Linked DNA regions of Arabidopsis thaliana. The protein of the gene in region 3 interacts with the protein of the main gene of each other region in a pairwise test. Each region holds a gene or a part of one and is shown on either strand. Other genes may lie near its edges.

Region 1 (6,756 bases), 7.8 Mb from region 3:
CAGCCTAAACCTGTTCCTTCCCCGACCAGACAAACTGTGGAGAAGCCAAAACCACAACCACAGCCACAGGAGGTGGCTCCTCCTACGACTACTAGCTTGAACACAGTAGAGCTCAGTAGAAAGACCAACTCGCTTTTGGAGGAATATTTCAATGTCCGTCTATTGGATGAGGCATTACAATGCATAGAAGAACTGAAAACCCCGTCTTACCATCCTGAGCTTGTCAAGGAAGCTATCTCCCTCGGCTTGGAGAAGAACCCTCCTTGTGTTGAACCAGTGGCGAAGCTCTTGGAACATCTGGTCTCTAAGAATGTTCTAACTCCTAAAGACTTAAGGAATGGTTGTCTGCTCTATGGGTCTATGCTCGATGACATTGGGATCGATCTGCCAAAAGCGCCAAACAACTTTGGGGAGATCCTTGGGAGTTTGGTTATGGCCAAAGCATCGGATTCTGAGTTGGTGAAAGAGATTCTAATGAAAATGGGAGACGAATGGTTCAAGAAAGCAGTCTTGGAAGCTGTGATGAGGAGTGTTAGTGAGTCTCTACTCACTACGGAAGCAGTAGAGGTTGAGGCTTGCCGTGGTTTGGTGTAGTTTGTGTGGTTTCTTTCTTCTCAATACATGTTTTGATCAGTTTAAGACCCCACGCTCGCCGGAAAAAACAGGTGAGATCTTTCTTGTAATCATTTATTGAAAAATGTTAAGAGTTAATATCATACTTGTAATCGAAATTAGATTCAGTTTTATTACTCTGTTTTCTTTTTCTTGGTTTGTGCTTTTTCTTTTGGTGCCTTAGTTCATTATTCATTTGGAAGAGTTCAAGATGAGGAAAAAGAAAAGAATATGTTGAATTGTACTCTTTATAGATAGTCTTGGAATGAAAAGTTTAATTTAAATAATCAAGTAGTTGTCAAATAATCATTATTATTATTATTGTATTTTATCATGTTGGTGGTTTACTTTAATGGGAACAGATGAGCATTTCAAAATAGATATTTAAAAAATATCACACTAATTTATACATTGAAAAATGACATTTAAGGATATTTCCCATTTTTCATACGTAGTCAATCATATAAAATTTGAGATTTTAATACGTTGACAGAGTCATATGATCCTGGATCGTGTCAAAATGTCTCTTGTGTAAGTAAGAAGTTTTCCAAAAGAAAAAACAGTTATGAGCTGTCTTGATGATTATATCACTGCCTAGTTGTTAATTAAGGAAGAGCTCATCTGTTTGGTTGCGTGCACGAAGAAGAGAGTATGGTACAACTACTTTCACACAAATCTATAAATACACAGACACACTCATAAGTTCAAAAAACACAAGATAAATATATTTTCTATTCAATTTTGTTTAAAGAATAAGAAAAAGATGAGAACTTCTTCTCTTCTTGGTTGGTTTTTGATCATCTCCCTCTTGTTACTTTCTCAATCCCTCATAATTTCATGCGGACGCCATACGATCACTCCTTTGGGTCGGGAACTAGTTGAACATGAAGAGAACAAGGAAGGGTCATCCGGTCATCACCACGACCATCTTCGAGTCTTCGTGAGGAAAAGCAAAAGCAAGAGCAAGAAGAAGAAGGACAAATCAGCAGCCACTCGAACCCTTCTCTCTAACCCATTTACCTATGTATCTACTGTTGTGAGTTCCTTTGTTTTATTGCTCGCCGCATTTTAATCCAAGATAACAGGTTGCGACTTTTTTATTTTATTTGTCAAATGGCTTGAATTTGCGTGTTTGTTTGAGTTTGTATTTCCGATCGAGTTTAACGATTTGTTTTCTTTTCCGGCAAAGATTGAGTTTGTAAGTCTTCAATGTTTGAAAAGTTGTCTGATCTGGTTTGTCTAATATTGTGGTTCCAGTTGTTTTGTTTAATGAATAATAACTGATTGTCTAAGACAATTTATCATTGACACACAACTACATGCGACTATTTTTGGAATTTTTTTGTTTGTTTGCTAAATTGTAAATATCATTAATATGAATAATCAGAACTTACACTTTGGTTAAACCTATACAATTGTGTACTTGGCCAAAAAAAAAAAAGAGTAAAAAACAAGAAAACAAACTTATGTGGGAAAATCTCGGGCCAGTTTATCGCAGCCATAAGATTTCAGAAGTGACCCCTTTGATTTTTTTGGCGGTGATAGTGTTCTTAATCTCACGATCAATTATTTTGAAGACTGAGTGGAGAGAGAATGCAGGTATAGTGAACATTGTTCCTTTGTTTATTCTTACCATTAACAACAACCTCTTTAAAACATCTACTACATGAATTCAATCAAATTCAGTTACAATTAGAACTAACTACTAGGCACCATTTCCCTTCGACCACTATTTGCCTTACGTTGGAAATTCACTAAATTCCATTTCACATAAGAAAACGATAAATAATAACATTTGGGTCTGTTACCCATTAGGCTTAATTAATCATGATCCTCCCTTACGTAATTAGATTTTGCCTCTCGGAAACTTTCTTTGTTGCTGGCAAAAGGAAAGTTTCTTTGCTAATAAGTAATAAGTATCCCAATAGTTAAATACAATAATAGTATTAAACATCATTTCAAAGAAGAAGTAGCCCATGTTTAAGCCATGGTCGTTTCGTTACCTAAGCCTAGCGATATTATAAATACTAATTCTTTTGCACACATAATGCGTCCCATCATTGTAAAATTAACACATATTTCTGATTTTTTTCGATCAGATACATGTATATACACACATATTATTTGATAAAACAGAAATGAGGACTTCACTGGCATTTTCTTGTTCATTGATTGTACTCCTATTGTTACTCTCTCAGCCTTTGCCAATTTCATCTGAAAATAAGGAGAGTGAACGAAGACTTGCACAACACGGTGACTCCAATCCGTTGGATCATCATGACTCTCTTCGAGTTTTCATGAGGAAAGCTCGTTTTGGTGGTGTTGGTGGTGGTAGTCGTGGTGGTGGTCGTAGCCACCGTCGTGTCCCCAGTAGTGGTCATGGTGCGGGTGGATCATCCGCTACTAGTCGACCTTGTCTCTCGATGGCATTGCGCTACGGTTCCACGGTCGCGAGCTCAATTCTGTTGATGTTCTTCGCCTTCTAATTAAACTCTTTTTTTTTTTAACCTTTCAATTTAATAATTTAATTTGTGCCTTGCGAAAACACTATGTCAACAACCTGATGCATAAGCACACATAGCAGGAGGGTTCATAAGCTGATAACAGAAGAAACTTTCAATATTGCATATAAATGACACACAAACGTTTTCAAATCTCTGAAAACAACTGCAAAGCAACTTTATTGGTACAAGTCAAAGCAACACAGTTCCAAAGAAACAGAAATCAAGCAGAGTAGATGGGGCGTCTGTATTCATCAAAGTACTCTTCACGGTGCTGAAACACAATCACGTAAATCGCATATATTATCCCCGGGACATAGCCTAAGATCGTCAACACCAGGCATATCAAAAACTCCACCTGCCAAAACAAACCACACATAAAAAAAATTCAACTTTCTTCAAATGATTATCCAAGCTTTCAGGAATCAATGAATCAAACATAAATTGATCCAATCCAGAGAATTTCTGCGATTCATATCATAGATTAAGCACTCCCTTCATTACTCATACCAAATTACATTATAATCAATCCAAAATTACAGTCTCTATAAGAAGTTCCAGGATTCTTCAAAATTGAGGAATTCGAAAGAGAGAGAGAGAGAACTTACAGTGCAGCATCCTTTCCTGAAGCAAACTCCGAGAGGAGGAAGAAGGATCGCGATAATGATCTCGCACAGAATCTCACAGTTGCTCGGCATTTTTTCAGAGAGATGAGATGAGAGAAGAAGAAGCTTTAAGAGTTTTTTTAAAAGACAAAACACTGAAACTTGCTGTCACAGAGTTGAGAGTACCAATGAAGAGAGATCAGTCCACGTTTTATTTTGTTTCCACTACAAAGTCAATGTGCGAGATCTGCACCGTTCATTTATTGATATTTAAATCGTACGGCTTTAGATTACATCTCGTGAATCACAACGAACGATATGGTGCACCCTTATCACATCAGATCACTTTTAGATATTTTAGTCTCTGACTCATCCATGTGACTAAATGGGCCTGGGAAGGCCTGTCTATTTTATTAATCCCGGGACCAGACTGGAATTGGACAGAAACGTTTTGACTCAAACGGTGTCGTATTACTGAGACTTTGATTCCTCAACTCACAATCATTGTCATTATTTGCCAAAGTAACAGAAATCTATCTTTTTTAGCATAATCTATACCATAATATATGTTGGCATCATACAAAATCCTTTCAAACTCAAAAATGCTTCCGCATTTTGCGAAGTTTAAACTCCGGTAAATACAATCTTGGCAAAGAATTTGATACATTAACTCTTAGGAAGGTCCGTAGCCTGACTTTGCAAAAGCCAACAAGTTATACATCAAAAAGATAAGCAATGTATCAATAACGCGACAATGTTCTCAAATCTTCAATACATAAAAATTGCAAAGCAACTTATTATTTGGTACATGATAAGTAAAACAGTTTCAACAACATATTGATCCGTGTAATGGACCAAAACAGATCAAGCTGAGTTAAGTGGAGCTCCAAGTTCGGTAGAGCCTTCACGGTTTTGAAACACGATCACGTATAGTGCATAAATTATCCCTGGGATGTATCCTAAGATTGTCAGCACCAAGCAAATCAAGAACTCTACCTGCAAAAAAACTAAGAGTCAGATTTTCTAAACTAAATCTCAAGATTCATGATTCCAAAATTCCAATAACTTACAGTGCAACAGCCACGTTTGAGACAAACTCCAAGAGGTGGAAGAAGGATCGCGATTAAGATCTCGCAGAAAACTTCCATGTTGCTCGCCATTTTTTCAGAGATGTGAGTGAAGAAGATTCTTGAATGTGATCTGAATTAGTGGAGAAGAAGAGAACACTGAAAGTAGTCGGTAGCACAGAGATCCAATTAAAAGAGCAATCCACGGCTTTTTATTTTTGGCGCTACCAAGTCAACTACGAGATCTGCACCGTTTATTTGTTTGGTATATAAATCGTACGGCTTCAGCTTACATGCCGACATCTCGTAAAATTACCTTACCTTGCCCCCACTCTTTAGATATTTTCATCTCAAGAACACGCAAGGTATGGTGCAACACAACACACCTGATCATTGTGGGATATTATTACTCTGACTCGCCCCCTTATCGTACGGTTAATGGATCACGTGACTAAGTTGGCCTAGAAGGCCTGTCTTCTATTGTTTCCGGGACCGGACTTTGATTAGCCCAATTTTTCTGTTGCTTGCTTAGATGGCAAGCTATCTCAGTACATTTACTTAACCCATTTCCCTCAATGTTTATTTCACTTAACACTATGATTCAGACCTAAAGCAATGAAGAATATTAATAGAACACACCAAAAGTTGGGAATTTAGTGACAAGACAAACTCACAAAGAAAAAGGGTTTCACATTGTTTTAGGAATTCAAACATAGATAAGAACAGAGTAAAAAATGCCATAGAGGAAGCTCTGAGCATAAAAACCGGTCAACAAGTTGATCAAAACGTGCGTCCAACAAAAACCAAACACCATCATTCCTCTCTTGGATTACCAGGTCTTGGAACGCGTAAAACAGCAATCGGAGGATTGAAATCCGGCTTAATGATCTCCGTCAAATTCTTCAAGCCCGACGTATTAGTGTTTATATCACTTCTGGTCAATGATATACATCCGCGTAAGTCCATGTACTCTAGATTCGAACATCCCTTACAAACCGAGTCAAGTCCTCTAGCAGTCAATGTGGAGTATCGAATCTCCAAATGCTTGAGCTGTGTCATGTATTTCCCAATTATTCTAGCCTCTATATTCCCATATCTAGGAAATGTAGCCAGATAGTCTAGTGGCGCGACGATTGTTGGCAGGCTAGGACCTAGCCGGGGCAACAAATTCCGTTTCAGAATCTTTAAATTTTGGCAACTCCTCCCCAATGTTATCAGAGACTCGTGAGTTATGCCATAAGAGTAGCTTATATCAAGTTCTCTAAGATTTGGACAGTTCATAGCTATCTTCTCCATTGACGCATCTGTAACATTTGGGCAGTTCTTTATCCAAAGTACCTCTAGATTAGGGCACCTGCAAATGGAAACCACATGACATTTTATTCATTCTATCAAAACTCTGCGATTAACCTCTATGGACTCAAGCTAAAACTGAGAATTATCACGAAAAGTGATACGTACCTCTCGGCGGCGTAAGATAGAGAGCGTTCTGTACAATGCCTGATCCGAATCTCTGTGAGACCTCCTTCACTCCGATCAACAACAGATCGGAGAAATGAATCGACTTTATCCTCAAACTCGGGAGTCCACCAGTTGATCGACTCAGGGAACGACAGAAACCGAGTTTCGAGGTCGAAGATGGTGTTTAGTGTCGGGTCATAGCATGCGTTCATCCAGTTCTTGCTGACCAGCATCGGTCCAATCCATCTTTGTTCCTGGCTTAGCCGTGAGAAGATGTCAAGAAGACATTCTCGAGTCAACTCAGACCAGTCAGGGTAGAGTCCCGATCCCATCTCCACCTTTCCTTCCCCGCCGTTGACTTCCATAGGATTGAAGAACGCTTCGTCGTTTTGAGTACGAATAGACTTGAAATGTTGAGACTTTTTTTTATCGTCAATGGAATAAATGTAGTCAATGGAAACAAAAATGCTGAGACTTTTTCAGCTTCTATAATCAAGCATGCTCTTTACC
Region 2 (7,736 bases), on a different chromosome or scaffold from region 3:
ATACCATCAACGAGACCGTTAATCCGATCACCAGTGATACACCCAGCTTCCATAACTTGTTCAGCAACTTCAATATCAATAGCTTCCAAAGCAGCTAAAGCGTTGCTCTGTATTTGAATCGGGCCTCTGTATTTTCCTTCTCCTCTTATAGCACTCAAATCTTTCTCAAACACTAACACATCGAATCCTTTCTTCTTAGCCGCTAAAGCAAACACCAATCCTCCGATTCCACCTCCGGCAACTAAAACCCTCGATTTCTTCTTCTTCTCCGTCACCGCCTCTCTCTTCTCCTCCTTCTCAACTAACGCCGTCGCCGCCTTTACTCCGAGCAAAGCTCGACGGCTCCTAAACCCAGATACTCCTCCGGGTTTTCCGGAAAACGATGATAAATCTAAGTAAAACTGTTTAGAAACAGGACTAAACACATGGGTCCTCGTGAAATCAAGCTTTGATGGAGATGGATTGATAGAGTAGCAAAACGGAGTTGAACCCATCTCGATTTTTCTTTCACCGACGAGAAGAGCAAAAACTCCGTTTAGAATTCTTGATCAAAGTTCAAGACTTTATCTGTTGTGATGCCTCAGACTCAAACCTGAGAGAAGAAGAAGAAGAAATTGGTTTGAAGAAGAAGGAGGCAAATGATGGAGGAGGAGGAGACAGGTGGCATCAGCAACGCAACACACTTCATCTCTGAGTGCCTACAAATATCGCCTTCTGATGTTGACATGTCTTTTCTCTCCTCCATTAGAAATTCATTTAATAAACTAATCAATATATTTAGAAATGTTTGGTAAAAATATTTGAACGTGACGTGATCAGCGCTTGTGGTGGATTTTTTTTGGATTGTGAGTGGATAAATCATCAATTTTCAATATTGTTTTCTTATCCCCATTTTAAGCCACTAAATTGATTTTTATTTTAACTTTTGGTTGACGTGTCACAACTTTTTTCTTTAATATATAAATCTTAAATTTAATTGTGATATGTCGACGAAATAAATCTGTTATAATAGTATTTTTCATCATCATAAAATCAAATGGTCTTTTATAGGTACTAAGCTGCACATTTTATTGGGCCAAAATAACGGCTCATAGAAAATAACACAAGCCCATTAAGATGGGCGTGAATGGTGACGGAAGAGTCAAATACGATGTGGACTAATAATATTGTGTCACCTGGTTATAACATAAAGAGTAGGGATCCAGAAAGTAGTAGTTAACAAAAGAACACTCAACAGTAGTAAGTAGAGAGTAGATGCATAAAGACCGTAAAACAAACCCATAGCCTAGAGGCTAGAGCTCAGAGATGAGAAGGGATCCAGTAAGGAACATGGTTGAGCATTGGTGCATGAGGAGGGTAAAAGGAATGGACCGTACCAGAGGTTAGATCGTATGAACCAAGACCATGGCCAATGTAATAGATAGAGTTAGGTTTAAGCCCCGGGTACATGCTTGCCGTGAGGCAGAACGCTTCACTTGCGCCAAGGAAGATGCAGAGATCTCCAATATCTTCCGTGTAACTAAAGTCTTTGCTCTTCTCATCTTCCCTAAAGACCATGAACCGCTTGGTTTTGCTGTGGAGACCTTCCACTTCTCCGTCTTTTTCCTCTGTGTGAATGCATTGTGCGTACCTGCGCATAAAGAGAAGAAAGCAGCTCAATCTCTACTTTGAATTTATCCAAAAGTAGCTAGCCTCTTAATAGACAAACTTACCAGTTGACCAAGAAAAGTTCACCAGAGGGAGATTCCACCAAGTGCTTGCTCATGAAACATTGATCCAACATCTCCCGACCTGCGTCAGGAATCTTGGGGAGGTTGGAGAGGCGCAGTTTTTGATACTTGAGCTTGTTGTTGTTGCTGTTGAGATGCAGTGAACCCATGTAAAGACCCTTAACACTTGTGAAGTAGAAAGCTTTGTCTCTCTTGGAAAACATGATATTATAGGCTGGATATAGAGGTAACGAGGTCTCAATGTGAGTCCACTTTGAGTCCCAACAAGGCTTGCATACACTTAGATGACTTCCACAGAACTTTGCAGCCACAGTAAAGTCTTGGAACATCAGAGAAAACTTAGAGATGAAAAACTTAGAGAAATTGAACAAGGTAATGGTGAAATCAGAGAAAATGCATCTTTCTTACTCTATAACTCTCTCTCTGTATATATAGACTTTGTTTGGGAATTTCAAACTTTCCTTTTTTCACGCATTCGTTGATGTTTCCTTTTTCTAAAATTCTTTTTGTGTTTGTTATTTCCCCTTTTTCACTTAGTTTAGACTTACGAGGAAACTAGAGCAATAATGAGATGGAATCAACTAAGGACAGTCTTGTAGAAGCACAGGCTCATGTTTGCTAAGGATATATGATTTGTTAGAAGAGATGAAATCTGTTGAGACCGAACTTAAACCAGGGACTGGTGCAGCGATGACGAGAAAGAAGCAATACAATGGATGATTTGGAAACAGAGCTCTAGAGGCTGAGAGACTTGGGACTGAAGCAAAGGAATCGCTTTTGGCTTGGAATGGAAAGAGAAGAGAAGATGAGAAGAATTCACTTCATGATGATGAGAACAATAGGCTTTGCTTGAAGCTACGCTAACCGGTTGGTATGAAAATTACTCTCTTCAACGCCGTCTCGTCTTTTCTAGGAACATCTTCATACCCATTAATACTCACAACTCTAGAATTCTTCTGCAAACACACAAAGAGATGCAAAAAAATTCAGATTTCGCAATTTCCATAAGAATAAATTAAAAACAGAGTGGCTCTGTTTTTGTGAGTTTACCAAGAAAGAATTGCATTTTCCGCCAGAAGGTTTCTTGAGACTCTACCACCAGAAACCACTTTATTGTATAAACATTTTATTCAATAATTACAAAGATAAACCCTTTTATGTTATGGATACATCTCTATAGACTTGGAAAACACAAGGAAGGGTTAATCTAGTGGCATTCACATAATCTTGAGGTGTATGATTTGAAACACCAGGGACTATAATCCCCAAAGCCCTACCACCCTTCAACAACCATCCTTCACTGTACTCCGAGCCCTTCTCAGCCACTATAGTGAAGCTTCTTATAAACTCCAATATAGCACTCCACATCATCTTTATAATCCCTCGCAACAAGAAAAAGTTTTCGTCCGATTGCTCTCTCATTACCTATAAGTCACAAAAAATATTGGTCGTCAGTTTATATTTTCAAGTGTGAATATATAGATAGATAGATAGATGTAAACCTTTGCTTGATAGTTCTGGTCGTAGTAGATGCAAGTGCCAAAGTGTTTGAACATCAAATCCTTATCATCGTACGGCAATCTTGGAACAATGTCGTTATTATAAACAAATCTATAATACTTTATATTATATTTTTCTAATTTCTTCTCCATAAATTCACCAAACTTGGAATCTCCAACCCTAGGCTGTCCATAAGTATACACCCCTTGAATCCTCTCCAACAACTCGGTCTCGTGGTGAATCACAAGCACAGCCGTGAACAATATCGCGAGGGCTCCTCCTAAGCTATGACCGGTCAGAACAAACTTGGTGTTTTTGTTTTGAGCGATCAGAGTTTTCAAAGAGTCTCTTATTGAGTAGTAAGCTAAAGGGGATTTTCGATCAGGGTTTGAGAGAGGTTCTTTAGGCCAACTACAATTGTTTTGAAGCCCTAGAGCTTTCATGAAACCACCATGGATATTCCCAATGTTTGGGAGCTCAAACCATGTAATGTCGAAATCTGAACACCAATCTTCGGAATTAAACAGTTCTGTGCCTCTAAATGCAACCACCACCGTCGTTTCTTGACCGTTGGATCTTGTTGTTGTTTCGTCAGTAGACATTATAAAGGCTTGTGTTGTTTCCTTTTCTTGGTACTCTGTTTTCAACCACAAAAAAAAACTTTATAAAAATATGATTAAATTGTAAATAAGATTAAATTACTAAGATTTCTTTTATTATATAATCATACCGTTCCAATAGTCAACGAGACCTAAATACTTCATATTCCAGTGATTCTCGACGACATGTTTAATACGGGCTGCGTTTTCGTAGGCAATTTTTGAAGCCATAATGGACAATGCAGCATAGTATTTCTCTCCATCTTCACGATTCAACGTCATGTCTAAACTTACCCTCGTGTCTAAATGTCCGATAAATGACTGATAATTCTCCGATGTCCGTTGCGGCATCACCACTTCTCCTGCATACATATCCACAAAATTAGTATTAATTGTAAATTGTAATTGTTATTAGAGACGAATAAACGGAAAACATCAATACCTCGAAGGAAGAGACCGGAGAAAGAGTTATTGGAGAGGAAGTTTAAAGAGAATTCTAAGGCGGAGCCAACGAGAGCTAAAAGCTTGGAGAAGAATCGAAGAAGCTTGAGAAGGACGAGAGAGACAAAGATAAGCCATCGATGTCGGAAACTGTGTTCTTCGGTTTCCGAGCTATCCACTGATCTCGGTTTCTCTATATCTCCGGAGAATAACAAACGAACAAGTTCCCATGGCCGGAGCTCTTCCGGTCGGAGAATCAGATATCCTCTCGGTTCATCGTCATCGTCGCTGTTCATCATGTTGATTCGATTTTGTGTTAGTATAGTACTAGAATATTGTACGAATGCAATTATTTATGTACGTATAACTCTATTTATAATGTTAGAATGGACCGTATTGTAGATTTGGAATATACTTGGAGTTGTGGAAAACGAGATTTGTTTTTTTTTTGCAACAGTGATCTACACATTTGGTTTTGGAATATGAATTTTTCACGTGGGTTTAATGTTTTGGAAAATTTTAAAATTTCTGAGAGTTTTCATCTCTAACAAAAAAAAAAATCCCCAACGGTAACCTATAATATAGTGGGCCTATTTGTGGGCTGACAATATAGGTTATGTGCCCATTGAATAGTGATCTTTCAACCCAACTTTTTCTTTTCCCACAATAAGGCCATGTGAATTATACCATTTTAAAAATTATATTTTCAAATTAACAATTTGATCATAATTTAAATAAAAATGGTACAACATTTATCAAAATGTATAACTAAACATATATAATTATGTAAACCTATAGGACTAAATTAACAAAAGACGTTAGTTTGAACATAATTTTTCTTTTCTGATGATATATCCGTTGATTAAAATTCTAACAACTAGATCTGTTGAATCATTGATATTTGTCTGTTTACCAAGAACCAAAACAATGTATACATATTATATATATATATATATACTGATATGATCGTATATGGATGCATATTAGTGGTATTGTACGTGATACTTTACAAATTACAAATCTATAAACGAAAGGAGGAAATATTCTGATATCCATATCATCGAAATGAAAACATTATCTTATATTATGGTTTTGTTTTTCATATGTCGTGTGAGGTGCACCGGGAAATTATAAATGAGTACATTTAACATAGCACAAGAGACTAGATGCGAGTAGTCAAAGAATGCACCAAAATACCGAAAATCAACAAAACCCAAAAAGAATAGAAAGATCAATAAGATATATATATAAAAAAAGTATACAAAAACCAAAATAGATAAAATTGGGATCTGCATTCCCAACAATACCTACCCATTTTAAAAGCATACTATATTATATTCAATAAAATCAAAATCTTTATCATCCCACCTATTTGCTTGTCCCCATTCTTTTCCGAATTCTACTACTTTTATCCTTTCAAATTACATAAAAATGAGTACGTCTACGTTTTCGTTTTAGGACGTTTCTACCTTCTAAGATATAGATTTTGACTTTTTTGCAGAGGAATTTTTTTTAAAACATATAATTGGTTCGATTTTGCAGTTAAATTGTCCTACTATTATATGGTAACCTTATAATGCCATCAAAGTTGACTATCTCGAATACTATTTGATCCCATTTTTGATTGGCATGGTTTAGTTTACATGCATTTGGTATGAAATTATATAATTAGATTACAATAACACCAATGATAACAGAGAAGAATGCATGAACTTTATCCTGTCACGGAGAACATGAGAATTTATCCGGAACAAAAAAAAAAAAGAGATAGAGAAGAGGAAGGAGGAAAAAGGCATTGAAGAAAAGATAATACAAGAAAGGGGAAAAATATCAAAATTTCTTCAATATTTCAAAGAGAAAACAAAAGAATAAATAAAAAAAGAAGAAGACGATAGAAATGTGTCAGAAGAATACAGAGCACTTGCCCAAGAAGATATTATAAGAAAATGTCTATATAAATCTAATCTTAAGGATATTGTAATGATCAGAGACTCTCTGTGGTGATGTTGGGACCTTTGTGGGATATCTCACGTGGGACGATTTTTTATTTTCAATAACCAAACAACAATGTAAAATTCTATGGGGTGAATATTTTATTTGTTTGCTAGATTGTGCGAAAATAATTGGACTGATTATTTTTTTGATAATTTGATATTGATTCAATTTGATTATTAATATAAAGTGGGTTGTTAGTGGAGCAACGAGTATAGATGATGCTTGGGACATGAACACGATTGTATTGCTACCTTGCCTTGGGAGGCAGCCTATCTCAGCTTTGGTACATTACACATTATTAAACAAATAAACAATTAAACTATGCTATTTGTTTCCGATATTCAAATTTGGATATATGCAAAAAGGTTTATTCTTAATTATCGTTTAACTTAGTATCAAACAACAATTTTTTATACAGTATATTTCTTTTTGGTAATTGGATCACCCAACTACCAACTAAATGTAATAATCGCACGATTTTATTTAACTTTTTCTTATTAACTAGAATGTTTGTATCTACTAGACCTTGCCTCTCAAAGACATGCGATGTGCTCATATAAGTTGTATTGATGTTACCATAACTAGTTACAACGCTATCATTTACCAATCGAATCTGTAACCATTTGCATCGAATATCGTTCAATATCAGAATTATCAACATACAATGGACTAAGAGACAGCTTGGCCACTACCATGCAAAGGTTAACCAATCATATTCATATATTATAGACATGTCGATGTATATATGTCTGTGGTCCTTCTAACGTTTTTTTTTTCTTTTTTATTTACTCATCCTTTGTTCCCACTGTGCTGTCACATAGATTCTTCACAGATCTTTCGAGAGAGAAAAAAGAGAACAACAAATCGAAGGTCATAATAAAGTCCCAAGACTATATGAAACAAAGTTGTGAAAAATTTCCAATTTTGTAATAATCGAGATGGACCCGTATGTTATCTTCTCGTTTTTGAATTTCATAAGTTTGTAGACTATACATTTCCCTTGAATTTAACTAACTTAAAAATTATAATTACAAAGTGCTTCCAATTCGAAATGATGTGAGTTATAAACTTATAATCAGTAACACATAACAACAATGTGAAAATAAGCTACATTGATACCTATAATATTAGTATTAAATGTGACGATAAGTGAAGACAGTTTTCACAACAGATGAGTATTAATTGTAGCGAGTAGGGCAAAAGTGAAAAAGTGGACTAAAACCGGTTTCTTGATTGAGAGAGTGAGGGCAGTGAAACGTCAACGTTTCGTGGGATTTAGCATGTTTTGGTGTCAACATAGGAGGGTAAAACAAAGATCGAAGCACTTGCTTTGTCTGCCTGTTTTTATCTAATCATGGGGAAGAACCATCTAAGGAGAAAATCAGAGTTATATGTAAATAAACTAGAAAACAAAAACCAGTCTTAAATGTGATTTTGTACAAATAAAGTGAGACAGATCTTGAAAGAACAG
Region 3 (10,914 bases):
GTGTTTGGGGTTTTATATATTTTATCTTTAGCCATTTTTTTTCTCTCTATACCTATAATAGTCTATAATCCTAGACCAAAGTGCTTAATTAAAGTACATGCGTATCGTTAATTATAGAAAAAGCATTACAAGATATCCATTCTTCTTTTGGTAAATTTTTTTATATTATAAGGGCAAAAATTATTGGTGGAGAATATATTCCTATGTCATAATTATTTTATTTGTTATATGAAATTTTGTCATCCGTGGCGTTGCATATAATTACTCTATATATATAGATAAAGTAATAGACATTATTACGATCAACCTGTTTTCAACAACAAATGTAGATGTATATAAACGAAGTGATTATATTTAAACTTAGAAGTAGGGTAATACTACCAATTTACGTCATCACGTACCTCATCACCGTAAATTAAAAAAAAAAGTAGATTATAAAAGGATGACCAAAAAAAAAAAAGTAGATTAAAAAAGCTTAGCCGTTGAGATCATGACACGTGCCATTATTACCGACAACTTATAGATCCGGTGTCCGTCAAAGTGAGTTAAGCAAATGCACTTAAAGACAGGCAGCAACTCTGTCGGTTGCCAGCTCCTCTCGGACAAGAATCTTCACACTCTCCGTTTGATCTCCGTTACCAAAAACCACTTGAGGAATTCCTTTTTTTTTTTTTTTTGGAAAATATTTCATGAAAATTGACTATAAATTTTATGAAATAACATTAACGGTAAGAACATTGAGATCGAATTTGAAGGTAACTAATTTAGTTGGCATGAATAAAATATATTTAATATTCATTTCTATTACACTTTTGCTGGTATAATTTCTATATATGTTCATCAACGTTTGGATGTGCATATATGTGACCATGTCTGAGTCTAACTCTGTCCCAATCATAATTAGTTTTAGTTTTGCCTTGACATATAACTTTCTTATACATAGAGCTGAAAATGTACTTATTATATATGTAGTGTAGTCATGAATGGTGGTAACATACATTTAGCTAATTTTTTGCGGTGTACATATAGACTGCAATTTCATAGTTGTAATATTATCAATAATTCGTATACGTATACAGAATTATCAATACTAGCACTATTTATTTGTGGTCATAAAACCGTTTTCACAATACTTGTGGATTGTAAAACATAAACATATTCTCGATGGAGATGTCGTACGTCCACAAAACACCGAGCTAGCTCGGTTGCAAAAACCAAGCCATTTTGTAAACACAAGTCTATATATCATACAAATTAAGTCGGTAGAATTAGTCACAAAATGTGAGAAAAGCATGATTTTGTAAAACACAATTCTATCATTTCATACAAAGAAAAAGTCATACATATATATGCATTGAATTCCAAATTTAAATTTCTTACTATTTCTGACATATATATGAATCTGCATTTAGATGTCTATTGGTACGAGTTTTATTATAACAAAACCACACTCTTCCGATGACAAAGCGATAAAACAATGCTGCGTATTATGACTTCCGTACGACTTCACATGGTCACGCCATTCTCTCTTCTTTATTTGCGCTCATGGCCACTCCTTATTTGGTGCATTTCTAATTTCTCTACCCACTCCCTCATTTTTACTTTATTCTTCTCTTTTTTGCCCAAATTTATCATTTTTATATCTGTAATTATTGTTCTACTAGCACTTAGCAGGTGCTTAGCCACTATTGGATGCCTTAATTTTTTCAATTAATTAGCATTTATTCTGATTCATCTTTTTAAATCTCGATACAGGTGTTGCACGCTGTGAGGACCACAAGCATTAGCCAAAATATATACTGTATTAAAGTGTTGTTATATATTGTTTCTTTCTCATAATTATTTAGAATTTTGGAAATTGGTATGTGCATATGTATTACAAGCGAACGGATCTAATTTTTACTTGCTTCGTTTTCTTATGTGAACATATCCCAAATTTCAGTTGTAAACTTAAGTCGTTGTTGTTATTATTTTTTTGTTTGTTAAGGGTTGTTATTATTTTTAATGAGATATTATTATTGTTAATTTTTCCACTTTATCGAGTCAGCAAGCCTTATTTCGAACTTCGTGTAAGAGGTTACTGTGGCTTTGGACCACTATGCCATATGTGATTAATGAATGAGTCTTTTTTTTAATGTCTACTGTATACATCTTATTTTTCAATTAAAGAAAGCGTTAGTGTAAGAAAAAATTTATAACATATTTACAGTAAATAATTAAGAAAATAACACTATATATGTATCAATTAACTAACTAATCTAAAGGGTTTATTAAATGATTATAGGTGGTGGCGGTGACTCTGGCGACTGCAGCGGCTCCGGCGACGGCGGTGACTTCGGTGATGGCTCCGGCGACGGCGGCGACTCCGGCGCGACGGTGATTCCAGCGGTGACTCCAACAACGACGGTGGTTCCAGCGATAACTTCGGCGACAACGACGGTGACAGCTCCGACGATGGCAGTGACTCCAGTGACAATGGGAACCCCAACAATGGAGTAATGGCTCAGGTGATGGCATTCATTCCGGTAAGGACGGTAACGGCGGCAGTGGCGGCAGCGGCGGCGGTGACGTCGAAGGTGGCGGCAGTGGCAGCAGCAACAGTGGTGGTGGTGGTGATAATTATTGTGGGGGTGAGGACAAACTTGTAATATTATATATTACATAATTATTATAGTGTAAGTTTTTTGCAATAGATTAGTTTCTTAATTAATAAGTTTTTTTTAGGTTATACATGCAAATTTCGCTTATAAAAATAAAATGATCAAAAAGAAAAGAAAAGAATGAATTAGATATAATGAATACTGAGAACAAACGAAGATATATGAACAAAAAAGTTAAAAATGTTAAGTTTTATGGTTTCTAATTCGAAACTAGTTAACAATGAATAAAGAGATTTATATTTTTTATACACTAGTCAAGTCTATTCTATATTTTTAATGTGGAATTTTTTCTATACGCTTCTTGGAAATAATGTTTTTCTAGTTATTTCGACAGAATTTAGTTTTTTTTTGAACTATTAATTAGTAAAGATGACCAGACCACTTTCCGGACTGGATTAGTGAATCATGTGTTTTTGGACTCTGATACCATGTTAAGTTTTATTGGTTTTTAACTCAAAATTAATTGACAATAAATGGAAAGGTCTATATCTCTTATATACAACTCAAATCTATTAGATTGTGCGGTTTCAACTCAAAACTAATTGACAATAAGTGGAAAAACTCATAACTTATATATATACCACTTAAAATTATACTCAACTTCTAATGTGGAACAATATTCCTAATATGCCTCATTGAGATCGATGGTTTTTCTAGCCATTGATCACGATATATTTGGTATAGATCGATGGACCAACTACTAAACCGGACCGATGTGTATTGGGTTGAATATCGGCTGACTCAAAATGATGCAAAAGCCATATGCCTCGAAGTTTTATAATTGGATTTCATCATCTATACGCGTGATAGTATAACAATTAGGTTTCAAATGGCCTGTTGGGCTTTTAACTATTCAATTACAGCCCATATATATAGTCAACATTAAAAATACCAACACATTGTCATTGACATGTTTGTACAAGCGTGGTCAAACAGAAATGATGTTATTCTGCTGCTTCATCAATTTATCTCCCTTGTGAATTGAGATTGATGGTTATAATGTTATGTTACTAACATCTTAATATATAAAGTTTGGTTTCTCAAAATTAGTCATTAATGTGATAATTTATAAAACATAATTTCTACAGTATTTTCATGTTTTTAATAAAAATACATGCTTATATATTGAAGTGAAATAATTACTAAACGGAAAACAATTAAAGTGAAAAAACACACCATTGTTTAGACGCAGGCCACACTTTTATTTTGGTTCTGTTTTTCGATTTAAACCTCAAACCTCATAATTCTTTAAACATTCAAATTGTCCCACCGTTTTTATAGATTCCTTCTAGATCGTCAAACACTTATATTCTTCCTTTTCTTTTTGTCAACACATTCTGACATTCATATAACTTTTCGTGTAAAACTATAATATAAATAAATGTGATAAATACACTTCTAATTCTTTCGTAAATGATATATCAAGAAATTTCCCAAAATTTTTTAAAATGTTACGTGTTATAAAGAAATTAATTAGGAATAAAAAAACTATTAAAAGATGACTTTTAAGGAAATGAAATGACGGTGTTATGATAAGAAATGAAGAATTTTATCATTTAAATTGACCTTTCCCCGAGAAGATACGCACTAAAGATACCCAATTGGTTTATCAAAACCGTAATAATCGAACCATAATTCTTCTCATACATCAAATACCGGAATAAATTTGAAAAATTGGTCGTTACTATATTTGGTTCAATAGCAATTTAAACAATACCGGAATTTCGATTTGGTACGTACCGGTTTGGTTATGTGACACATTTCAATATCAACCTTCCCATAAAAGTTCTTTCTCGTAATATAAATTAAATCCTCTTTGCTCTCTCGCTCGCTTCCTCTTTTCGATTTGGATCAGAAAAAATAAAATTTCTTCGGAATTTCCAATAATCTGTCTCTCTTCTTCTTCGATCGAAAATTTGACTTTTTTTCGAATTTGTTTTTTCATTAGCTTTGGTTGATATCATCATCGTCAATGGCGACCGCTTCATCTTCAGAATCTCCGAGCGAAGAAACGCAGACGAATCAAGAAGCGATGCAGCAGCAAGATTTACCGAAGGAAACTACTACGGAGGAGGAGATTTTGTATAAGACGAAATCGATTCAGTTCCTTGGAAGAACCACACCTATCATTCTCCAGAACGAAAATGGACCTTGTCCTTTGTTAGCCATTTGTATGTTTCTATTTTCTCCTTTTTCGTCCTCATAAAACTTCATTCAGATCGTAAAAATAGGGTTTGGAAAGTGGAATTTCGGTGTTATGATCATTGATTCTTTAGGTTTGCGTTACTGATTTTGTGGAATTTGTAAAAGAAATTGAAGAATCGGTGTTAGGTTTGCTTGTTCCGTACAATGTAATGAATCATTGATTTGATGGTTAGTGTACCGAACATCAGATTTTGTTGTTAGCTTGAGCTTCTCGTAGAAATGACAAGTGTGAGAATTTGGTATTTAGTGTGCTTAATAATACTTAGATCAATTAACACTTTGATTACTGATTGTTATTTGATTTTGGGATGAAACAGGTAATGTGCTTCTCTTGAGAAACAACTTGAATCTAAATCCTGACTGTTATGAGGTTTCTCAAGAGAGATTGATGTCCCTCGTGGTCGACAGACTCATTGATTCCAATAGTAAAGTCAATGTAAATAAGCTGGCTTCTTATCTTTGCCTGTTCTTTATATTATCTTGTGGCTTGAATCTATGTGAATCTTTTATTCTTCTCAATGGCAGAACAAAGATGAAGGATATATTGAGAATCAGCAACAGAACATTGCTGATGCAATTGATCTTCTTCCACGCCTTACTACTGGAATTGATGTCAATATTAAATTCAGGAGGTTAATACTTTGTCAGCTGTTTCTGCTTATAATAGGTAGAAATTCATAAGTTAATTATCATGAGTGTTTACCTGGTTGCAGGATTGATGATTTTGAGTTCACACCTGAATGTGCAATATTTGATTTACTTGACATTCCCTTATATCATGGATGGATAGTTGATCCTCAGGTATATCATTTTGTTTCATACTTTATCAGAATGGCTCTGTCTGCGCGTAAATAATTAAATTTCATTAGTATAGGCTGTTGACGTTTTTTAATTTCGTTCCTGTCTTTTGTGTGTGGATGTTTGGGATGTGGGGTCATCTTCTCTTCTTTATCTTCTTGAGAGTTGAGAAACAAAACATAGGTTACTTTATTCTTTTTATCCATTGTTTGGCTCGTTTTAAGATGGATTGGAACAGTGGTCAAGAGCACTCATTTTAAGATGGTGTCCTTATCAATCCTGGGCCTGTAGTAAAACTGTAAAAGTATTGATTCAATTGTTTCCCATGTGCATACCTACAGGATGTTGAAGCAGCTAATGCAATTGGTAGCAAATCGTATAATGCTCTTATGGGTGAGCTAGTTGCACTGGAGACACAGAATGTAGAGGCTCAAGGCGATCAAAATCCCGGAGAAGATTCTGTTGATTTTGCTGCGGCAACTACTGCAGTTTTAGGGGTTCCTTCACCTTGTCTTTCGAAAACAAGATCTTTTGATGATTCTCCACCTGCGGCTGCAGAGCTTCGTAGAATGAGAAAGGGGGATCTTGAAGAAGAAACAGAGTTGTTGCAAGCCTTGCAGTTATCACAGGGGCAGGGGAATGATCCAACTCCAAACACTAACGGAGACTCAACCAATCAAGATTCTGCGTTCACATTTTCAGATGCGAGTCCAACTAGCACCCATATTACTAATATCAGTCAGCTAGACCAGTTCAAAACTGATGATGATAAAGCATCAGAAAATGATGGGAATATGATCAAAGTTGGGAAATTTCCGACAACGATTACAACTAAAAGTGAGGATCTTAACCATGATCAATTATCTTCTAAGCAATCTGGAGGTGAAACGGCTTGTGATGTTGAGAACGTGAGTAGCAGCAAAGAGGCCATTGTCGATGTAACTTCTTCTGAGGCACTCTCTGTGGATAAGGGTAATCTGGAGTCAGCGAAAAGTGAAAGCAGTTCTGAGAGTGTACTCAAGTCTGATGCAGCTTCTATTGATCCAGGTAGTTTTTTTGACTCTTCCTTAGTTGGTGTAACCTTATAGATGTCTCTATACATAAGTATAGTACTCCTCCATCTTAATCATTTTACTGGCTAAAATTGCATCTGAAGATATTAGATAGGAAAATTCTTACTCAGATACCCATTGCATCTCCAGATTTGAGTTGCAGATCCCAGCATGATGATGCACCCAACGCTTTTATCCCACCTGTATCTACCGATGAACCTATGTACGAAGGTGAGGAATGTGTAAACACAGTGCCTCCAGTTTGTGCAGACAAAGAACCCGTTTATGAAGGTGAGTCACTTCTTGGTAAAAGGGTTGAGAAGGATGTTGGTGATTGTTCTTCTGAAGGGAGGGCTACGGATGGGCTCACAGCAGAAGAAGGTAAATTATACTGTGTCTGATCTACTTGTGATACACTTGAAATACATTTTCGGAAACTCATACATGCATGCCATTGTGGTTAGAGCTGCTCTCTTTGCTCTAGTTCACATTTTTCCATATATTCTTGCAATTATTAAATAGTTGTTCTTGAGTTTTTCCAGGTGAACTAATCAGGAACTTTATGAAGAATAGTGCAAGTCAATTAACCTTTTGTGGGTGCGTGATCTTATTCATAGTTAGGAAGTTATATTTTAAATTGACTGCTCATGTATTATCTTACATTGATTATTGATCATATCTTACAGACTCTTTCGCTTGCAAGAAGGCCTCAAAGAACGTGAACTCTGTGTTTTTTTCCGGAACAATCATTTCTGCACCATGTTCAAGGTTTGTTTAGTTTGCGGTTATTTCCATCTTTGAATTGCAACAGGTTAATCCCAACTAAATTCTTCTTGTTGCTGTCATATTTTCAGTATGAAGGTGAACTTTATCTTTTGGCTACAGATCAAGGTTACCTGAATCAGCCTGATTTGGTTTGGGAAAAACTAAACGAGGTATCAGCAAAAGTTACTTACTCACCATTTGTCTTATCTGCTAATTTTGGCTTCTTAGGAGATATCTCTATATCCACAATCTCTTTAGAGCTATGGCTGTTGTGACCACTATTGACATGCAATCTGGTTTCAGGTTAATGGTGACACTGCATTCATGACTGCTACCTTCAAGGACTTCACGATCGACAGCAGCACAGGTGGTGCAAGTGGCACATGGGATGAACGAAACGCAGTCACAAATACTGCTGTATGTTCTCCTCATAATATAGTCACTAATCCACATTAGATCTCCTTCTTTTACCTTTTTAATCATTTTTTTTCTTTTGGTTCTCCCTACACAGGATTATCTTGCCAGCATCAACAATGTAGCGGATGCAGGCATAGATGTCAAGTAAATATTTCATACCTTTCTTTGACCACTAACCCATTGGTTCTCACCAGAGACACATTTATGCATTTGTTATAACTGTCCTCTTAAAAACATATTTATGATTGTTTAATTTTAATTCCCATGGTACTATGCAGTTCTGATCTGCAACTAGCAATAGCTTTGCAACAACAAGAGTTTGAGGACCAGAGCCCACGTAGTAACCCAACTCCACAACCAACTAGCGTTGCTGCCTCACGATTGGTCACTGGTCCACAGGTATTTCATTCCTACTCATAACACTATATTCTTAAAAAGCAGGAATCGACACAAATGGTTAACAATGATTATAAGAAAAGGTAAATTACCGTGTGACCTGCACATTGCAACAATATACAACACTGATTATTAAAATAGTAAGAGAGTATAGCCTTAACAAGCACATCTGCAAGTCCTGTTTAGTACATTTGTTTTCTGTCCATATACTTTACCGACTAAGATGAGTTTACAAGTACCAATTGCGAGTGTAAAACATCGATAATGATCATACACCGTAATCAGAAGCTCATTGAATATAATGCAGCCTTGCTTCTTGTGGTGTTTGGATGAATGTTAATGATCAGATATTGTACTGACCATTGCAGGTACCAAGGAGCAGCCACAGGCCATCATCAGCTGCGTCTTCGAGACACGACGGCAAATCCCCTAAAGATAAAGATAGCAAATGTAGAATCATGTAAATCCTCATTTCACTTATGTAAATTTCCAACTTTTTCTTATTCCCTAACTAATTTTAATCCTTAAAAGCTTTTTGGTTTTAACAAAAAATAAACTGTAATTGCGCTTTGACTAAACTATTTTTTGTTGCTCATAAAAAATCAGAGCTTTTCTTTATCCTTTTGAGAAGTGGGAGACGAATTAGAGTTTGTGTTCACGTTTTGGCTTTCGTTCTGTTAAGTTACTCTGATCGCCGTTACTTTTTTGACGGAGTAACGGCTATTGTCCGTGATGCCTTTTATAATAATTCTGCTTAGCCGGCTCGGTTTGACTAATCGCCAACTTTTTCAAGTTGTAATCGGAGAATGTGATTATTAATCCCTAATTAAAATACTTTTTATCTGCATTAGCTAATCATTTTGACTAGTTATAAACTTAAAATAATAAATAAATTATATCCTAATCCCTCAATTCGAATTTCAAACTAGTTTGTATTTCTTTACAAGTTCAACTTTTTTCTTTTCACTATAAGATAATGATGTGCTAAGACCACGACTGATAGATAATATGAATCCACTAGAGCTGTTGAAAATTATAGTTCAAAATTGAGGAAGACTTCAACAATGAAAATGTCTTCTCCATTGAAGAAAATGTCTTGATTTATTATTCAATACGCAATTATATGGTTTAATTTAGTGATTTTTCGAATGTTTACTTCTTGTTGATAATAAATATTAAATAGTAATATGATTTCATTTCAAGAAAATGTCATGCTTAATTATTACTTACACTATTAAGTCGAATGTTTAATTTCTAGTTGATATATAAAAATAGTAACATCACCACTCAAATGAAGTTGCATCAAAAGAGGGACCAGAGAGAAAGAGTTTCGTGAGCAGCCAACAACCAAAGTGGAAGTCCTCTTAGTCGTCGTTACTAAAAACAAATAATTTATTAGTTTAATTGAAGATTAATTTGTGTTATTAATGGCTAAAGTTAGAACGATTCAACAACGGCAGCCAATATCTTTAAAATGTTCCGATTCTTCCGTTTCAAGTCAACGTTCCCTTCGTTTCCTCCCACCTTCTTCTTCACAAAAATCTGAGATTTCATATAAATTTGCCCATATTTTTAGATCTCCATTTGATCTGAGTTTGTATTATCACAAAGTTTTATCTTCTTTTTTTTCACTCTTCAGTCTTGATCTCTCGATTATTGCCCACCAAGTGATCGATCTTTTGTCTCACTGAACTCGGTTACGCTTGAGATTTGATCTAACAGCTGAAAGTTTCTGACTTTTTGGGTTTTTGATTTCGATTTTCATGGCGTATCATCCGGCTTATACTGAGACTATGTCTATGGGAGGAGGGTCAAGCCATGGGGGCGGCCAGCAATACGTGCCGTTTGCTACGAGTAGTGGCTCTTTGAGGGTCGAATTGTTACATGGTAACTTAGACATTTGGGTTAAGGAAGCTAAACATCTTCCTAATATGGATGGTTTCCATAACAGACTTGGTGGGATGTTGTCTGGGTTAGGTCGGAAGAAAGTGGAAGGTGAGAAGTCTTCTAAGATCACTAGTGATCCTTATGTTACTGTCTCTATCTCTGGTGCTGTGATTGGTAGAACTTTTGTTATTAGCAATAGTGAGAATCCTGTGTGGATGCAGCATTTTGATGTACCGGTTGCTCATAGTGCTGCTGAAGTACATTTTGTTGTGAAAGATAGTGATATTATTGGATCACAGATCATGGGAGCTGTTGGAATCCCAACGGAGCAGCTGTGTTCGGGGAATAGGATCGAAGGGCTCTTTCCGATACTTAATAGTAGTGGGAAGCCTTGTAAACAAGGTGCTGTGTTGGGTTTGTCTATTCAATACACTCCAATGGAAAGAATGAGACTTTACCAAATGGGTGTTGGTTCTGGTAATGAGTGTGTAGGAGTTCCCGGTACATACTTCCCTTTGAGGAAAGGCGGTAGGGTTACTCTGTATCAGGATGCTCATGTTGATGACGGTACTCTTCCGAGTGTACATCTTGATGGTGGGATTCAGTATAGACATGGAAAGTGCTGGGAGGATATGGCTGATGCAATAAGGCAGGCAAGAAGGTTGATTTATATCACAGGTTGGTCAGTTTTCCATCCGGTTAGGCTGGTTCGTCGTACCAATGATCCCACCGAA
Region 4 (7,555 bases), on a different chromosome or scaffold from region 3:
GAAAAAATAGAATTGAACATTGGATATAGTCTTATTATTTTGATTTTTTACTATTCTTTTTAGTAGAAATTAAAACTAAAATACACTTTAGTATGAGTTTCAATTCATATTTCTAACACATATTTTTTATAAAGAAAAATTAAATTTATTTAATTCAGTTCAATTTAAATTTATTTTAGAAAATACATATAGTATAATTTAAAATGCATATAATTTTGAATTGAATGGTAGAAATAATCTAAATATTTTTATTAGTTTGGATGGTTGCAATGGGACGAGGAGTAGAGGAGGTGGAACGTAGAATATATGTAATTATGATGTATAATGGCAAACCCTCGCGATCCATAATTTCAAGCCATAAATTAATAATTATGTAATATCATAAACGTGAGAATTTCTTAGTAGTTCGTTAAAGTAAAGCCATTATATGTTCGTCTTCTTTTTAACTTTTTTTTTTTTTTTGGGGGGGGGGGCAACGTTTTTTCTTTATAATTATGAGCCAAATAGTGGAAGTGAGTTTTTAACCATTTTGGTGGTTTCTATAATCATTATTTTTAAAGTATTAACCTTTCTTTTTAGGTGTGTGGGTGGGATGATTTGGAACATTTATGTCTTTACGATGACGCGATACAAATTGAACTATATACATTGTAACATATTTGACTAGTTTAGTAGCTAGCTAAATAATACAATATTTTTGACGTGGCTTATAAAACACCAATTTAGCCCACTCGTTTTTTCATATATAATTACGAACTATTGTACATGATATTTTAATAAGTGATTGAGGTGAAAAACGTTGGAGCATCCACCAAATTCCATGATCATAGGAGAAAGAAAAGAAAACGAATAAAGAGGTAAGCAAGTTTGGTGAAAGAAGAAAAAAAAAGAAAAAGAGAAAGAGACGCAAGTGAATGATTAAAAAAATGCACAGGGAATTAAGTGCTTAATTGCCTTGATGACTTCTTTTTCTTTTTGGAACATTTTTTCTAAAGATTTTAATTTCTCGTTGAATCTTTTTTCTTTATTTTGATGTGATATGAGATTTGAGAATAGTCGTTGCCGTGTGAGATCAGTGGACCCAAATGCCTACTATGTACTTCAAAATTCTTAAAATTTTAGGAAACAATTATTATGTGTTCTATTCGGAAGCAAATCATTGAAACATGTTAAAAGAAAGACAGTTAGATAGAAATTTCAGTGTGAAAAAACAAAACATAGAAATTTCAGTTCACATAATTGAGACTGGGCTTTGGTTAGATGAGTGGAGTGGCCATGCAAAATGGAGCCTAAACATGGCCTTGGACTTATTTTGGGCCATGTCTCAGCTTTGGATAACTCTTATACAATCTCATAAAACAAACACCAAATTGCCACCAGCTTCAAACTCAAGTAAAAAAACTTTAGAAAGATTTTATTTCTCTTTTATAGAGATAATATGATCAAAGTCAATAAAAGAAAAACATTATTGTTAATCTTATTTTCTTATAATTTTTTGCATAATTTCTAATTTAGATTTTTACAAACAAACAAAAGAAATTGTAATTTAGAAGCGATATTTCATATTTTCTGTCAACCAAGAAAATAGAACATAGTACCCAAAGAAAAAAAGGAATATACCAAATGAAGGTCCCCAGCAAAAGTATATCCCCCAAGTCCAAGAGACTTGGACCGTCCGAAAAAGTCCCTTTGCTTCAATCACTATCAGTTTTCGCATTTACTAAAAAAAATATTTGTGCAAATAAATAATTTATTTTTATACAAAAATCTCTAGTAAATATTACCTTAATCGCTATATAATTATTTTCAAAATATTTTAAACGTATATGAAATGTATGAAGAAATATGGGAATCTCAAACATTTATTAACCTAACTACTTGAAAAAAATTAATCAAAATTTAACGTCTTTTAACAGACCACGAACTTGTTCCAAGGTAAGGAACAAGATCATCGTGAACGGTCCTTGCCTCGTCGCCGTCGGAACAAGCCCTTTGTACAAAGCCATTGGTCCTTCCTCTGCCACCATCTTCACCGCACAATCCAACGGTCCACCGTAAATCTCCTTATCCGCATTCATCATCCTCGTCTTCACAACGTCGATGGGATTCGACGCCACCGCCGCGACGATCCCCGCCGCAAAACTCGCCGCTACATGCGTTCCTATCCCTCCCGGCGTTCCACGGCCACCAGCTACCAAGATTTCTTTGACGTGATCATACGTAGCGAGCTGAGAAGCTGTCACGATCATGGCACGGTTCACGGTTAGCCATGAGCCACGCCATAAACTTGAAACGCCTTCTTGCCTTGCGATCCTGTCGATCGCGTCCACGACGCTCTTGTAGTTTCTGCGACGGTTTAACGGCAAGCTTCCGTCGGCTTGCATTCTCACCATCGCCACGTCAGCAGGATTCCCGACGACTGATCCAACGGCTCCTGCGATGAGTCCAGCTGTGATCTTGGTTACCAATGGGAAGTTACCTGTTTGGAATTATCGTTTACGTTTAATTTATTTGATCTTTTGTGTAATAATATGGAAAAAATTCGAACCAAACAAACCGAAACTGTTTAAGATCGAAACCGAACCAGCATTTGTTTATAAATCCATTGGTTTTCTTATTTAAAACCAATAACCGAGAACTGTAAACGACTTTTAGTGTAATCAAACCAAACCAAACCGAATAAAAACCAAAATTATTTTTTGAGTAATATTGTTGCCGATCGAGTTTAGTATTATTACCGGTGAGTTGATCAGTCCACCTTCGTTTAAGAAAGTCGTATATACCCATACGGGTGGCAGAGTAAAGCATCTGACGGAGGATGGTGGCGGAGACGCCGGAGAAGAGAGCGGCGGGTCCTTCGGTTTTGACAATGTGTGCCCCTACGGCGAAAGGGGTCATGACGGAGCGCGTGGAAGAAGACGGCGCGTGAATGTGTAAGGGTAATAAGGAAATGCTGCCGATGAGAGAGTCAAGAGCGAAAACGGGTCGGTAAGGTTTCACGGGAAGATTATGATCAAGGCTAAGATTAGGGTTAGGGTTTTGGTCGAGCGAGAAAGAATGTTCGCCTTGAAGCTGCATACGGACTTTGATGAGGTCTAATGGGTGAGTCAGAGCTCCGGCGATGATTGCGGCGATGCCACCTTCAAGAAATGGTTTGAAGCCCATTGAAACGATTACCGGAGGATTTTATTGTAAGGAGAGAATGTTTTGAGGAATGGGAATTGAAAGAAAAGAAGAGTTTGGGAGATAATAGATCTTTTGTAATAAAATGTTTGGAGAAGAAGAAATGAAATTGAACAAGTTGGAATGGAAGAAGACAAACTACTTGAGAAGAAAATAATGCAACGAGTAGTTGTGTTTGTGTACTAGTCCTGAATTACGGGTTCCAGCTTTTAGCACAATGTTTCTTGTTTTGTCTTGATGCACACCTTGGCATTACAGAAAAAGAATAATTGAAGCTAGAGGAATAAACCAATATTGGTCAATGAAACCAATGTTCTATATCTAACATCTACTCATAAAATTTGATGTTTCATTAAGACGAACGTCATATACACCGACAATTGACACATTATATCTTTAATTAAATATCTTACATTACATGATTTACTTAAGAGTTATATATATATTTTTTGTACCACAAGAGATATACATATTACAAGAGAGAATTAGTACGAGATTATATCAGGAGCGTTTAGAGACTCAATCATGACATGGTGAGGACTCTAATACTGTAATACATATGTAATCTCTCATCTTTAACCAAACACAAACCAAAACTATAATTGCATATATAGTTTATATAATCATTTGACGTTCTTTACCCATTGATCTATGGCTTCTTGTTAGAAACGTTAACCTCTTCAACTGTTGATGTAGGTTTTGTCTTTTCAGTCTTTGGCAAACCGCCATTAACACCGGGAATAGGAAAGCTCGGAAACCATGATGGAAATTCAAATGTTGACCCTTCTGGCTCTTCTGGTTCTTCGGGCTCTTCAGGAACTTCGGGTTCTCCAGGAACCTCAGGCTCTTCTGGAATCTCAGGCTCTTCTGGAATCTCAGGCTCCTCCGGTGAGGGCAGCTCCGGCTCTTCTGGAACTTCCGGCTCCTCAGGTTCTGTGTATTCTGGAACCTTTTTGACCTCTTCTTGCACCAGAGAATGACTTACTCTAGCAGCAAAACTAGGTGTAGGGAACAAGAGGGACGATGAAATAAAGACAAGGAACAAGACCGAGGAGACGAGAATAGGAAGGCGAACATTAGTCATTGTGATATTCTTGAATCGAAACCAACTTAGAAAGATGAGTTAAACAATGTTGTGAGTATAGAGAGTTTGTGTTTTGCTATATATTGTTTACAGAATGGTTTCTTAAATAATATTGAGATGAGAGAGATCTTAGAATGTAGATTCATAAGAGTCAAAAAAATTTGGTGAGAAGATCTCACTGCACGATTGTGAGAATGTGATGTTAGTCTTCAACAAACTCACCTATATTTCATTATACGTCTTAGTTGTATAACCCCTTTTAAGTTTACTTTCGAACCTAATATATATACTTGTTTTAAAGCTATTGATACTAAACATTACAAGAAATCTTAAAGTTAGCAATACCTATATTGTATTTTACGTCTCATATGCATCACCCCTTCTTTACCTGTGAACATTCATTATTAATACATTTACATATGATTTTATTATTTTATCTTGTAACCGTTTCAAGTGAAAAGTGTATTTTTACGCATTATGTAGATTATTAAAATATATAAGGATCAAAATCAAATAATTTTAAGACTTATAAAATAAAATAAAAAATAAGACTGAGATAAAAAAAAAAAAAAATTAAAGACTAACTCAAGTCCAAACTCATAATGGTATTAAGTATTATAGAGAAAATCACCAAGAATTTTTTTTACGATAATAAGAAAAGTTTAAAGACACTAGAGTGTCAGAGACATGATGATAAGAAGATAGATTTAGATGAGCAAAACAAAAGAAATTGTAAAAGCAGAATGAAGTCTTGAAATGGCTTCACTTGAGAGGGATAAACCTAGAGGAGTGTGTAGCACCATGACCGGGCTTGCCGTGCCTAACGGGTTTGTAAGTGATTGAGAATTCCGCAAGGTAATGTCCAATCATCTCCGGTTTGATCTCGATTTGGTTAAAAGTCTTTCCATTGTACACACCAATGATGCTTCCAATCATTTCAGGCATAATCACCATGTTCCTTAGATGGGTTCTCACTACTTCGGGCTTCTCACCAGCTGGTGCATCTAGTTTCTGGTTTAAAGTAAATTAGAGACTAGTGTTATTATAATAATCAAAGCCAACCAATCAAAAGGCAGATCCTAACTAAAATTATTGTTATGTTGGGAGATCACAGACTAATAACAACTATGACACAATAACAACAGAGATTTATATTGGAAAGTTAGAGTTTTACCGCTTTGCGCAATTTCTTGATGAGAGCCATAGGCTTCCTCGTTAATCCTCTACTCATCCTACAAAATAATCAACATAATTAAACAAAACCAATCATTTAAAACAAGAGTTATATAATCTACCAAAATTTTTGGTGGGATCAAAACCTTCTTCTTATACGGGAAGGGAAGAGCTCGACAAGATCATCAGTGGGCATGTCAAGAAGAGCATCGAGATCGACTCCTTTGAAGGAAAACTTTTTGAACGTTCTCTTCTTCGCAAGAGCAGCTGCGGAAACATCTGGTTCGACTTCAGCCTACGGATTTCGACAGAGAAATTTAAGACCATGATGGGTTCAAGGATCTAACAATCGAATAATTAAGGTTTAAAGAGATGGAGATCAAGAAACTAACCATTGTTCTTGGTTTGAGAAGCCGGGAAAGTGACTGCAACTAGGGTTTTGCTATGGAGATACGACAAGAGACATAACTTGGCACCCAATATATATATATATATATATATATATACACAGATGTATTATAGATCCTACAGTGTTTCTGTTTAAGGAAACGTCAATAAATATTTACCAATTATTACATTATTGTCTTTCTAAAATAACATATGAATCAATATTTAAATATTTTTCTTCCCTTATAATAGAAAAACTTCTTTTTTTCTTACCTTATAAAAACTGATAATTAAAACATATAAATACACAATTTTCCCCCAAAAAATCAAAACTTAATTATTAGTTTAATGTAAAATTAACTGATTTAGGATAAAATTGGTCATACATTTTGTATTTATCTTCGAAATACAAGGAAATTATGTACAGATATCTTATAGAAATAGATATATAGTTTGTGAATTTCAAAAAAGAAATTGAAATTTTCTTCTATTTATAAATAGGGTCATTGTGTTATTTTTTATTTTCAATATACAACCATCGATCTGCAATACAAAGAAAAAAAACTAAGCAATCCAGATATTGATTTTTTTTTTTTTTTGAAGTTAATATATGCAGTTTAAAAATGCAATTGAAAGATATCTATCTATAAATCCTGAATTATTTTCTAAATTTAAAGTAATACTCAATAAACAGAGCAAAGTTTAATAGATTATAAATAAAAAGCTCTGTATTATTTGAAGGCATGAACAAGAGTTTGAACAAAATCTAAAGGAGAGAAGAGAAAAAGAAAGACAAAATGTTCTAAAAGAAAAAGAAACGAAAGACTCGAATTTAGAGCATAACAAAACTCCACAAGAGCTTGATTATTCACTTGAGAGGGATAAATCTGGAGGAATTGGTAGCACCAACACCAGGCCTACCATGCTTAACAGGCTTATATGAGATTGAAAACTCAGCCAAGTAATGTCCAATCATCTCTGGTTTGATCTCGACCTGGTTAAAAGTCTTTCCATTGTAAACACCGATGACGCTTCCAATCATTTCAGGCACAATGATCATGTTCCTTAGGTGGGTTCTCACTGCTGCTGGCTTCTCTCCAGCTGGTGCTTCAATTTTCTGCTCATACAGAGAGAGTCACAACCTTTAGCGTTTTAAAGCCATTTGCTTGCAAAAATCATATATAGAGAGGCATGAATCTGAGAAGACACAATCTAAGAAGACACGTTCCAGGGCAAAGATCTAGTTAGAACAAAGAATTATTGATGGAGAAGTTTGAGTTTTGTACCGCTTTCCGCAGTTTCTTGATCAAAGCCATAGGCTTCCTCGTCAATCCTCTAGAGAACCTATTTACATAACAAAACTGATCAGTCTAAAAAACAAGAGACGATCTACGAAATTGAGACAAAGCTCTCTGGTTCAAAGAGTCCTCTAACCTTCTACGGATACGGGAAGGGAAAAGCTTGACAAGATCATCAGTAGACATGTCGAGAAGAGCATCAAGATCGACTCCTCTGAAGGAAAACTTTTTGAACGTTCTCTTTTTTACGATTCCAGCCGCAGCAACCTCTGGATCCGCCTACGTATTTTCCCAATACGAGAAATTACAAACGTAACGACGGAAATTTTGATAAATGATCTACACTATTAAGAGACAAAGATTAAGAAACTAACCATTGTTTGTTTGGAATTGCTGAAAACCTAAAAAACACCACAGAGCCTCAAACAGT

The links.
Region 1: the proteins of AT4G11860 (region 3) and AT4G30660 interact in a protein complementation assay, tested with the Arabidopsis thaliana proteins (one large-scale study listed by BioGRID).
Region 2: the proteins of AT4G11860 (region 3) and AT5G67050 interact in a protein complementation assay, tested with the Arabidopsis thaliana proteins (one large-scale study listed by BioGRID).
Region 4: the proteins of AT4G11860 (region 3) and DIC3 interact in a protein complementation assay, tested with the Arabidopsis thaliana proteins (one large-scale study listed by BioGRID).

Annotation. Positions count from the first base shown.
Region 1 is NC_003075.7:14,952,525-14,959,280, reverse strand, and holds AT4G30660 (Low temperature and salt responsive protein family), read right to left. Parts: upstream 3,903-6,756; 5' UTR 3,812-3,902; coding exon 3,722-3,811; exon of another isoform or gene 3,472-3,721; coding exon 3,337-3,471; 3' UTR 3,281-3,336; exon of another isoform or gene 3,121-3,280; 3' UTR 3,110-3,120; downstream 1-3,109. Other genes in the region: AT4G30680 (Initiation factor eIF-4 gamma, MA3), read left to right, coding at 1-594; AT4G30670 (Putative membrane lipoprotein), read left to right, coding at 1,376-1,684; AT4G30662 (uncharacterized protein), read left to right, coding at 2,751-3,098; AT4G30650 (Low temperature and salt responsive protein family), read right to left, coding at 4,583-4,714, 4,789-4,878; AT4G30640 (RNI-like superfamily protein), read right to left, coding at 5,599-6,139, 6,247-6,611.
Region 2 is NC_003076.8:26,756,597-26,764,332, forward strand, and holds AT5G67050 (alpha/beta-Hydrolases superfamily protein), read right to left. Parts: upstream 4,602-7,736; 5' UTR 4,570-4,601; coding exon 4,272-4,569; intron 4,192-4,271; coding exon 3,961-4,191; intron 3,868-3,960; coding exon 3,233-3,867; intron 3,156-3,232; coding exon 2,886-3,155; 3' UTR 2,782-2,885; downstream 1-2,781. Other genes in the region: ABA1 (zeaxanthin epoxidase (ZEP) (ABA1)), read right to left, coding at 1-494; AT5G67040 (F-box protein, putative (DUF295)), read right to left, coding at 1,300-1,630, 1,713-1,879.
Region 3 is NC_003075.7:7,132,080-7,142,993, reverse strand, and holds AT4G11860 (FAM63A-like protein (DUF544)), read left to right. Parts: upstream 1-4,483; 5' UTR 4,484-4,632; coding exon 4,633-4,831; intron 4,832-5,182; coding exon 5,183-5,301; intron 5,302-5,390; coding exon 5,391-5,497; intron 5,498-5,578; coding exon 5,579-5,666; intron 5,667-6,004; coding exon 6,005-6,710; intron 6,711-6,865; coding exon 6,866-7,096; intron 7,097-7,257; coding exon 7,258-7,312; intron 7,313-7,401; coding exon 7,402-7,483; intron 7,484-7,569; coding exon 7,570-7,650; intron 7,651-7,783; coding exon 7,784-7,897; intron 7,898-7,991; coding exon 7,992-8,041; intron 8,042-8,175; coding exon 8,176-8,296; intron 8,297-8,661; coding exon 8,662-8,757; 3' UTR 8,758-9,098; downstream 9,099-10,914. Other genes in the region: AT4G11870 (uncharacterized protein), read left to right, coding at 2,275-2,499; PLDGAMMA1 (phospholipase D gamma 1), read left to right, coding at 10,057-10,914.
Region 4 is NC_003076.8:2,947,349-2,954,903, forward strand, and holds DIC3 (dicarboxylate carrier 3), read right to left. Parts: upstream 3,348-7,555; 5' UTR 3,166-3,347; coding exon 2,739-3,165; intron 2,480-2,738; coding exon 1,893-2,479; 3' UTR 1,784-1,892; downstream 1-1,783. Other genes in the region: AT5G09480 (hydroxyproline-rich glycoprotein family protein), read right to left, coding at 3,833-4,267; AT5G09490 (Ribosomal protein S19 family protein), read right to left, coding at 5,030-5,278, 5,442-5,499, 5,587-5,735, 5,833-5,835; AT5G09500 (Ribosomal protein S19 family protein), read right to left, coding at 6,696-6,944, 7,114-7,171, 7,262-7,404, 7,500-7,502. UniProt on the Arabidopsis thaliana protein: PUMPS are mitochondrial transporter proteins that create proton leaks across the inner mitochondrial membrane, thus uncoupling oxidative phosphorylation.